Bombyx mori: one gene and its partner. The protein of the gene in region 1 interacts with the protein of each later gene in a pairwise test. Links are inferred from orthologs where the notes say so. Each region holds a gene or a part of one and is shown on either strand. Other genes may lie near its edges.

Region 1 (3,830 bases):
AAACTAATTTCGTCAATATAACCTAAAATTATTGCTGTGGTAAAACGTGGAGACATCGATTGCATTTTCTTATCAGCTTTAAATAAAATACTTTTTGTGATTCTGTAGTGCTTACAGTTCTTTCGTCCTTTTTTATTTCTCTATCTTATTCTAATAACTTTCAGCGCCTTTTTTAAAATTTACCCGGTTGCTACTGTAGCGCCATCCTTATTTAGCAGATTTTCACGGACACTTTTTATACACAGAGACGGTTCTCCTTATTCTACCCTCCATAAAAGGTAGGTACTCACTGTTCCATATTTCAAATAAGAACCGTTAATATTGTTTGTCCATCCGTTTTGAAACTACGTTGCCACAGACACAAGTAAAGCTCTCAAACTTATACAGTTCCACACTATTTTTCTATCTGTGGTTAAAAATAATGACATACTTATTTGTGTTTTAATTAGTTTTCTAAGCCGTTTTTTTAACTTATGCGAATACCCTATCGATAATATCCCGCCCCGTTTTAAAACACATTTACTAATGTCGATGGGCCCCCTGTTTTTGTTTGTCTATCCTTGAGCTTAGTTTTACGCAGCTACCGAAAACTAAATTATGTCACTGTACAAACCTATTCTATAGTGGTGGTAGGAATGTTAGTCCACGCGGGTCAGTACCACTGTCCTGTCTATTTCAGCAATCATGGGTCGCGGCTTGAAGGTCAAATTCTCTTGGGCGTCAAACAATTGAGACCTGTGTGGTCGAACGTATTTTATGGTTGTGGTGGCTCATGTACCGTAGGTTGGGGGGAATTGGGACCCTTTCCAATTCCAACGAAAAATTTCAATGGTTTTTCTTAGGGTAAAATCAATAAAATTGAGATTAAAATGGCTCCGGGGCTTTAATTTTTTATATACGATGCATTATTATACATAGTTTTACATAGTTCATTACAAAATATACACAAAAACTTAAAAAACTAGTTTGACCCGATACATCTTGGCTTTGGGGTGAATCAGGTTACTTATGGGGACAATAGAGTTTTCCGATAGGGGTGGCACTATTTAGTTCTAAGGTAGGTACCTAACTTTAGGTAATTAAGTTTTTAATATATTTAATGAGCTACAAAACTTTGATGACTAAATTAAACAGTTTAATATTCTTTCTAACACTAAATAAAAGTCATTTTCAGTTCAACAAATTTAAATCTAACAACTCAACAAAAGTATTGTGACATCCCAGATTTGTCCCTATTCTAACTCTAGTCCCTATTCCCCCAATCTACTGTAATTGATTAGCAACAGGGCATGAAATTTTCACGTCAATAATATTGCATAATTGTATTCAGAAACATATGAATATTATCTATTATCTATATATATAAAAATGAATTGATGTTCGTAAGTCTTGCTAAAACTCGAGAACGGCTGGACCGATTGGGCTAATTTTGGTCTTGAATCATTTGTGGAAATCCAGAGAAGGTTTAAAAGGTAGATAAATATGAAAATGCTCGGAATTAAATAAAAATAACAATTTTGTTTTTCCTTTGATGTGTCCCCCGTCGGACGGATTCATTTTGTTTGTTTTAAGTTTATTTTACACAAAAGTTTAGGTCTTTTACTTATCGATTGAGGCACTACGAAGTCTGCCGGGTCAGCTAGTGAGAAATAAAATTGATTCGCTGTTTTAGGTGTCCAAGAAAAATTTAATGGAAATAGTGAAGAAGTTGATGTCGCACATGGAACGTGCCGAGGGGACGTTATACCGGGACGAACTGCTGACCCGGATGATCGAGATCTGTTCTCAAAACAACTACCAGCACGTTGTGGATTTCGAGTGGTACATCACGGTACTGGCAGAGCTTACCGAAATGGAAACCAGTGCTAAACATGGCAAGGAATACTTACAGTTTTATTAGTGTATAATATATTGCTTAGATGGGTGGACAAGCTCACAGCCCATCTGGTGTTAAGTGATTACTGGAGCCCATAGACATCTACAACGTAAATGCGTCACCCACCTTTAGATATAAATTCTAAGGTCTCAAGTATAGTTACAACGGCTGCCTCACCCTTCAAACCGAAACGCATTACTGCTTCACGGCTGAAATAGGCAGGATGGTGGTACCTGCCAGTGCAGACTCACAAGAAGTCCTACCACCAGTAATTATAATTTAACTGGTTTGATTTTTATTACACGATGTTATTCCTTCACCGTGGAAATCAATCGTGAACATTTGTCGAGTACGTATTTCATTAGAAAAATTGGTATCCGCCTGCTGCATTCGAACACCGGTGCATCGCTCAACACGAATGCACCGGACGTCTTATCCTTTAGGCCGCGACGACTTAAACTCAATCAATTGATCAAATCAGAAATGAGGAGATTCGCAGGAAAACCATGGTAACCGACATAGCCCAAAGGATTGCGACATTGAAGTGGCAGTGGGCAGGACACATTGCTCGTAGAACGGATGGCCGTTGGGGCCAGAAAGTTCTTGAGTGGCGACCGCGTACCGGAAGACGTAGCGTGGGTAGGCCCACAAGATGGACCGACGATCTATTGAGGTTCGCGTGGATCCGCTGGATGCAGGCAGCGCAGGACCGGTCTTTGTGGCGAGGCTTGGGGGAGGCCTATGTCCAACAGTGGACGTCTGTGGGCTGATAAGAAGACTTAAACTTTTGTTCGTATCGACGCTTGAAAGACAAACGTGACTAAGCGACAATGCGTGAACTTTACAGTAGACTAATTTAAAGTTGAAATACCTGAAAAAAATTATATTTTAACGAATCTAGCTGTAGGATTGAAATGATTTTAATAGACCTAGAAATATTTTTTTTGCGCATCGAATATGGTTATTGCCTATCATTTATGTACAAATTATTGTCGCTTAGTCACGTTTGCCTTTCAAGCGTCGGTATATTTTGTGGTGTTCGTTAAACCTCGCAATGTATTGTGTAGGGTGTATAATAGCGGCGCAGCTGACGGAGGTGGGCGCGCGCGTGGCGGACGTGCGACCGTTCGCGGCGCGGGAGTGCGGCGCGCTGTGTGCGCGGGTGGCCGCCGCGCCGCCCGGCCCCGCCTCCCGCGAGGTGCTCTACGCCGCCGCCTACGTGCTGTCCGAGTACTGCGAGTTAGTTCGTTTTACTGTTTCACATAGATATACATACATACGACCTAAAGTTATTTAGTATAGTAATTTAGACGAAAACGATGCTATTGCATGATCGCCTGTTAATCAGAAATCGCGACTTCGAGATATTCGCGGTAGGCAGCGGCTTGGCTTTGCCCCTGGCATTGCTGAAGTCTTTGGGCGACGGTAACTACTCACCATCAGGTGGGCCGTATGCTCGTTTGCCTACCATGGCATTAAAAAAAAAATTCGGGTCAATGCTTATTACTTTTTCTATATGATTTGAAAAACTAATTAATTTTACGTAATATTTCAGTATCCAAGAATAAACCTATATCACGATTTATTCTTGGATACTGAAATATCTGTGTAGCTATGTAACTGTGGTACCCTTGATCCACACCCTAAGTTACCTAGTTTAAGCAACATTTCGCTTAATACGCGATATTTATCTGCAATTATTAAAGGCGCGTTTTATTTGTTATTCAACAATTCGATATTTTTAATTGGACTTCAATTAAATTTATGAAATACAAATGGCTGAAGATGGTTTTATGTAATGACATTTTTTTTTCAAAATTTGAAATTTTAAATAATTCTCCTGTAAAGTTGCAAAGTTTTTGCATAAAACCATCCTTTCCTTTTTTTGTCATTCACCCCTCGATATGTAATCAACAGGGAAGAGGAAGTGATGCTGAACGCCGTGTCCCCGCTG
Region 2 (4,419 bases), on another chromosome or scaffold:
ACTGGGCAGGACGGTGATAAATTTCCGTCCTGGCTCAAAATTCGGAGTGTATGAGTACGTAGGCAAATAATATTCAATTATCTCAAAGAAGCAAGTTGAGCACATGCGTGGCACGCTTGTCTGCACATGTCTCTTAAAACTGATCAATTTATGTACGGTGACAGTTTTAGCGAGCACGAAACGATTTTAGCTTCGGCCGACACGGAAATTTATTTTAGAACGATCGTGTGATATTTGTGCGATACTGAATTTTTCAATGCAGGGTTGTCAAACGTTCGATTTTCTCGTTTTTTTTTTTCTGTAACCCACAAGCATCAAGTAGGTATGTAAAAATATCGGTAACAATCCATATCCTTATGGTAAAAAGGAGGTGTTTGTTTGTTCTTGAAGATGAAAAACAAAAGTGATACTGGTGATTCATAATAACATGATTATTTTGATTTTTTTTCAGTTGTTTTTGGTATACGAATGTCACGAAAGAATGTTATAAATTAAAAAATCCGCCAATGTAGATAAGCTTAGCTTAATAAATTATTAATGTGTGTTTTATTGTTCGCGTTGTTGTAGTATATGTTGCTTCGAGGAAGATTTCATTCCATTATTTTTAATAAAGGAAACATTTTTCCTTCATAAGTAGATTTAGTATCGCGTCCCCTAATTCTATCAACATCTGGCAGCAGCATACTAAATGTTGGCCACAGTTATTGTCTTATTGGCATAGAATATACTACACTTAACCGACTTACTGTAAGCAAGTGATTTTATTAATACTAGAGGTCCCGCAGTAGTCGAAATTCGACTATAATTAATTGGAATTGTAAGTTTGTACACTATTATTATTGTATTTTATACTTCTATAGTCACAAATTTCGCCAAGACTACACTATAAAAAATATTAACAAAGACTAACAATATTTAATCTATTCTCAATCTGACAACAGAGGTCAAGAACAAAAGTTGGACAATAAATAGTATGCATGCGTGTGTGCGTCAAATACATGGTATGTAGTGTGTGTAATGTTTTCTTTATTGATTTAATGTATCTTTTATGCATTATTTTAAAAAAATATTAGCATTGTGCACTTCTTCTCTATATTCTCTATAAGTGTGGAAAATTTCATACTCCTCCGTCCGCGCAATTTTCGTAAAAAGGGATACAAAGTTTTTGCTTCACGTATTAATATATAGATATCGCGGACTCTTGTCATAGCAACAAGACCAAATTTTCAGTTTTTAAGATAATTCCTCTTATATTTTTAGACACAAACAAATACAAGTCTTGTATTACTGGGTTTTTTCTTTAAACAAAACCAATGAATATTTTGTTGAATTAAATTTGAAGAATAATGCATGCACAGATTAAACAAATCTGTTTTATAATGAACATTTTTGCGCACACGTCGGTCCATTTGGTAACAAAAGGTTACCAGAGTCTTGATATCGCATCGGTTAAACAAAATACAGAGAACACTGGCTAATGTGACTAGATCTGTTTTATTTCCGTCAAAAAACGAATGACATCCTTAACGCATTGCGTTTGGACATTCAAAATCTTTAAACCGTGGGCGGATCGAGAGGACGCCACATCGTATAGTTGCGGTTTGTACTCTTGTAATGCAGCAGTTAAACAATATTCTTCAAAAAAATTATTGAAACTGATAATAATAGTGAAAGCGTCAAATGGTGTGAACAGTGATAATAATTTGTAGTCATATTTATAATGCCTATATTATTCAGTGTGATAGCGTGTGATAAACGAGTCGTTTCGAAATTCGCAACCTGCGATGGTAACTTCGTGGAGATATCCGAACGAATGGTCTCAAAAATACCGGTACATGATCACAAGATGACGTACCTTCACGGAAAATATTTGATTCACTATGTTGTTCACAAGAAAAATATATTTCTTTGTATTACAGAAAAGGTAAGTTACGATTTCGTTTGAAAAGGACTTCTTACAAGTTAAAAAACATACATGAAAAAATAGAATATAAATATTGTTCTGAAAGTTCATTGATAATGTCGTCCAATACATTCGAATTGCTCAAAACACGTCATTACGGATCCTCCCGATCCATTAACGGTGCTTTTAGGTACCTCAAGCACCGGTCACCGTCCTCGCCGAACCCGTCGCTTGCGACGAAGGGCTCGACGAGTAAATTAACCCACAGACACAGCCCACTGAGTTTCTCGCCGGATCTTCTCAGTGGGTCGCGTTTCCGATCCGGTGGTAGATTCTGCGAAGCACTGCTCTTGCTAGGGCCAGTGTTAGCAACACTTCCGGTTGAGCCCCGTGAGCTCACTTACTGAATCTAGAATAGCCCCTCGAGGTTACTAGAATAGGTAGAAAAAAAAACGAATAGTATAAAACGAAAATATCTCATTTTTATTGTGGCCGGTGTTTAAAACTTGTTTTTTTTTTATTTCGTTCTCGTCAATAAATTTCTTAAAGATATTAGTTATTCGATCTGGTGCACTTATTGTTGTCCCATATATCTTCTGAACACATAGCACAGAGAAAATTTGGACGAACGATTGCCACTTATTAAATAGGTTGAATATTGAAACTAAACATATACGTCAGTTGAAAATTGAAGAAACTTTATTTACATATTTCTGTATGTGCAAGATTGTGTAAAGATTTTCTGTTAAATATGAGAGAAGCACACGTCGTTATTCGCATAAAGTTCCCTTATGTTAGCTTAAGTCAGAATTATGTAAATATTTTTTCTATAGTCTTCAAATCAAATGTATTTTCTTAACAGAGCTGTCAGAGATCAAGGGCATTTTTATTCTTAAATCAAATCCAGAGACGATTTGCTGAATACGTAAAAAATTTCGAACATATACTGGCAGAGGAAATGTACCGATACAATGAAGATTACAGTACTATAGTTATAAGAAATGGCGAACTGGATGAATTGAACAGGATCAGCGTTGAAAGGAGTGGTAAGTTTTTTTAAACATTTTTTATTAAACAGCTTTGTAAATATGTAGGATGGTTAAGAACGGAACCTATGGAAAGAGCGTGGAACGGAGTGTTAAGGTGTGAGTGAGAGAAATTTGTGAGAAATAGAGAGAAATAATAATAAAAAAAGCAAGACCGCGAGGACGATGAAGTGAGCGATGTGTAAAAAATGTGTCAATAAATTTTTAGTTATTTATTAAATAGTTTGGTAAATATGTAGGATGGTTGAGAACGGAACGTATGGAAAGAGCGTGGAACGGAGTGTTAAGGTGTGAGTGAGAGAAATTTGTAAGAAAGAGAGAAATAATAATAAAACAAAATGGCAACATGGCGAGGTCGATGAAAGCAGCAATATCTAAAAAATGTGTCTATATTTTTTTTATAATAACAATTAAATTCCAATTATACGTATGTATGTTTGTATGTCTTCTTTATAATGTGATTTGCATCGATTTTAAGACGTACCGACCACTAATCAGAAAGTTTGTACACGAATGAAGGACCGTTAGCTAAACAATAATTTTAATTGCTCTAATCGCTCTGAAATCCTGACCGGTATTCAAAAAAGGTACAAAATAAAGATAAAATTATTTGTTGGTACGGTTTGTAATTGAACGTACGGGTTCTTAAACTACATTTAATTTTAAATTAGTTTTTTTTTCTTTTCAGAAACAATTCTCGGCGAGAAAATGCTTTTAGTTGATAGCATCGATAGTTTATCGTACAGTGTAAGTTTACATAAGACATTAAGCCTACAAAATATAGTCATTAGCTATTTCTCTCATAAGCATGAATAACGTAAATGCCATTGTCTCGAGACATGATTTCTAACTCTGTTCTACAGTATAACAAGGACCACCCTTCAAACGGGGATCCTTACTGCTCCGCGGGAGAAATACGGGGTTGCCTTTAATTTTGATTTTATTTAGTTTCGCTCGTTATAAATGTCTCTGCCGGATGTATGAATGCGGCGGAAAAAAAGACTATCAGTTTCAACATTTTAAATGGAAAAAAATTCACAGAATACCTATTAAATAGTATGTATGAGTCGACTATTATCAAAGCCGGCAATGTGACTTTTGGACAATTATTGGTAAATCAGAAAAACGAATTATTGACTTTGTATTCCATTGGCAGTCACAAAACTCTTCTGCACGACATCTTAGATAAATAACAGGTTAAGTATTAACCTTTATTTAAGCAGGTTTTGAACCGTATTCTTTGAAGGAGACGATTATATTCAAATCAATCTGTATTGACATATCAATAACATTTTTTTGTCCAAATGCACAGATTGCCACCTTTGATAATAGATGACTCGTATAAACAAAATCTATTACCAAATCAAGTTTTTTATTTTTTTATTGCTTAGATGGGTGGACGAGCTCATAGCCCACCTGGTGTTAAGTGGTTACTAGAGCCTATAGACATCTACAACGTAAATGCGCCAC

Evidence for each region.
Region 2: the proteins of AP-3 complex subunit delta (region 1) and vesicle-associated membrane protein 7-like interact in a two-hybrid assay, tested with the Homo sapiens proteins (2 studies listed by BioGRID and IntAct). The link is inferred for Bombyx mori from reciprocal best matches to the Homo sapiens genes AP3D1 and VAMP7.

Annotation. Positions count from the first base shown.
Region 1 is NC_085121.1:9,311,781-9,315,610, forward strand, and holds part of AP-3 complex subunit delta, read left to right. Parts: intron 1-1,672; coding exon 1,673-1,874; intron 1,875-2,943; coding exon 2,944-3,115; intron 3,116-3,793; coding exon 3,794-3,830. UniProt on the Homo sapiens protein: Part of the AP-3 complex, an adaptor-related complex which is not clathrin-associated. The complex is associated with the Golgi region as well as more peripheral structures.
Region 2 is NC_085119.1:6,315,133-6,319,551, reverse strand, and holds the start of vesicle-associated membrane protein 7-like, read left to right. Parts: upstream 1-1,530; 5' UTR 1,531-1,720; coding exon 1,721-1,924; intron 1,925-2,765; coding exon 2,766-2,949; intron 2,950-3,637; coding exon 3,638-3,696; intron 3,697-4,419. UniProt on the Homo sapiens protein: Involved in the targeting and/or fusion of transport vesicles to their target membrane during transport of proteins from the early endosome to the lysosome. Required for heterotypic fusion of late endosomes with lysosomes and homotypic lysosomal fusion.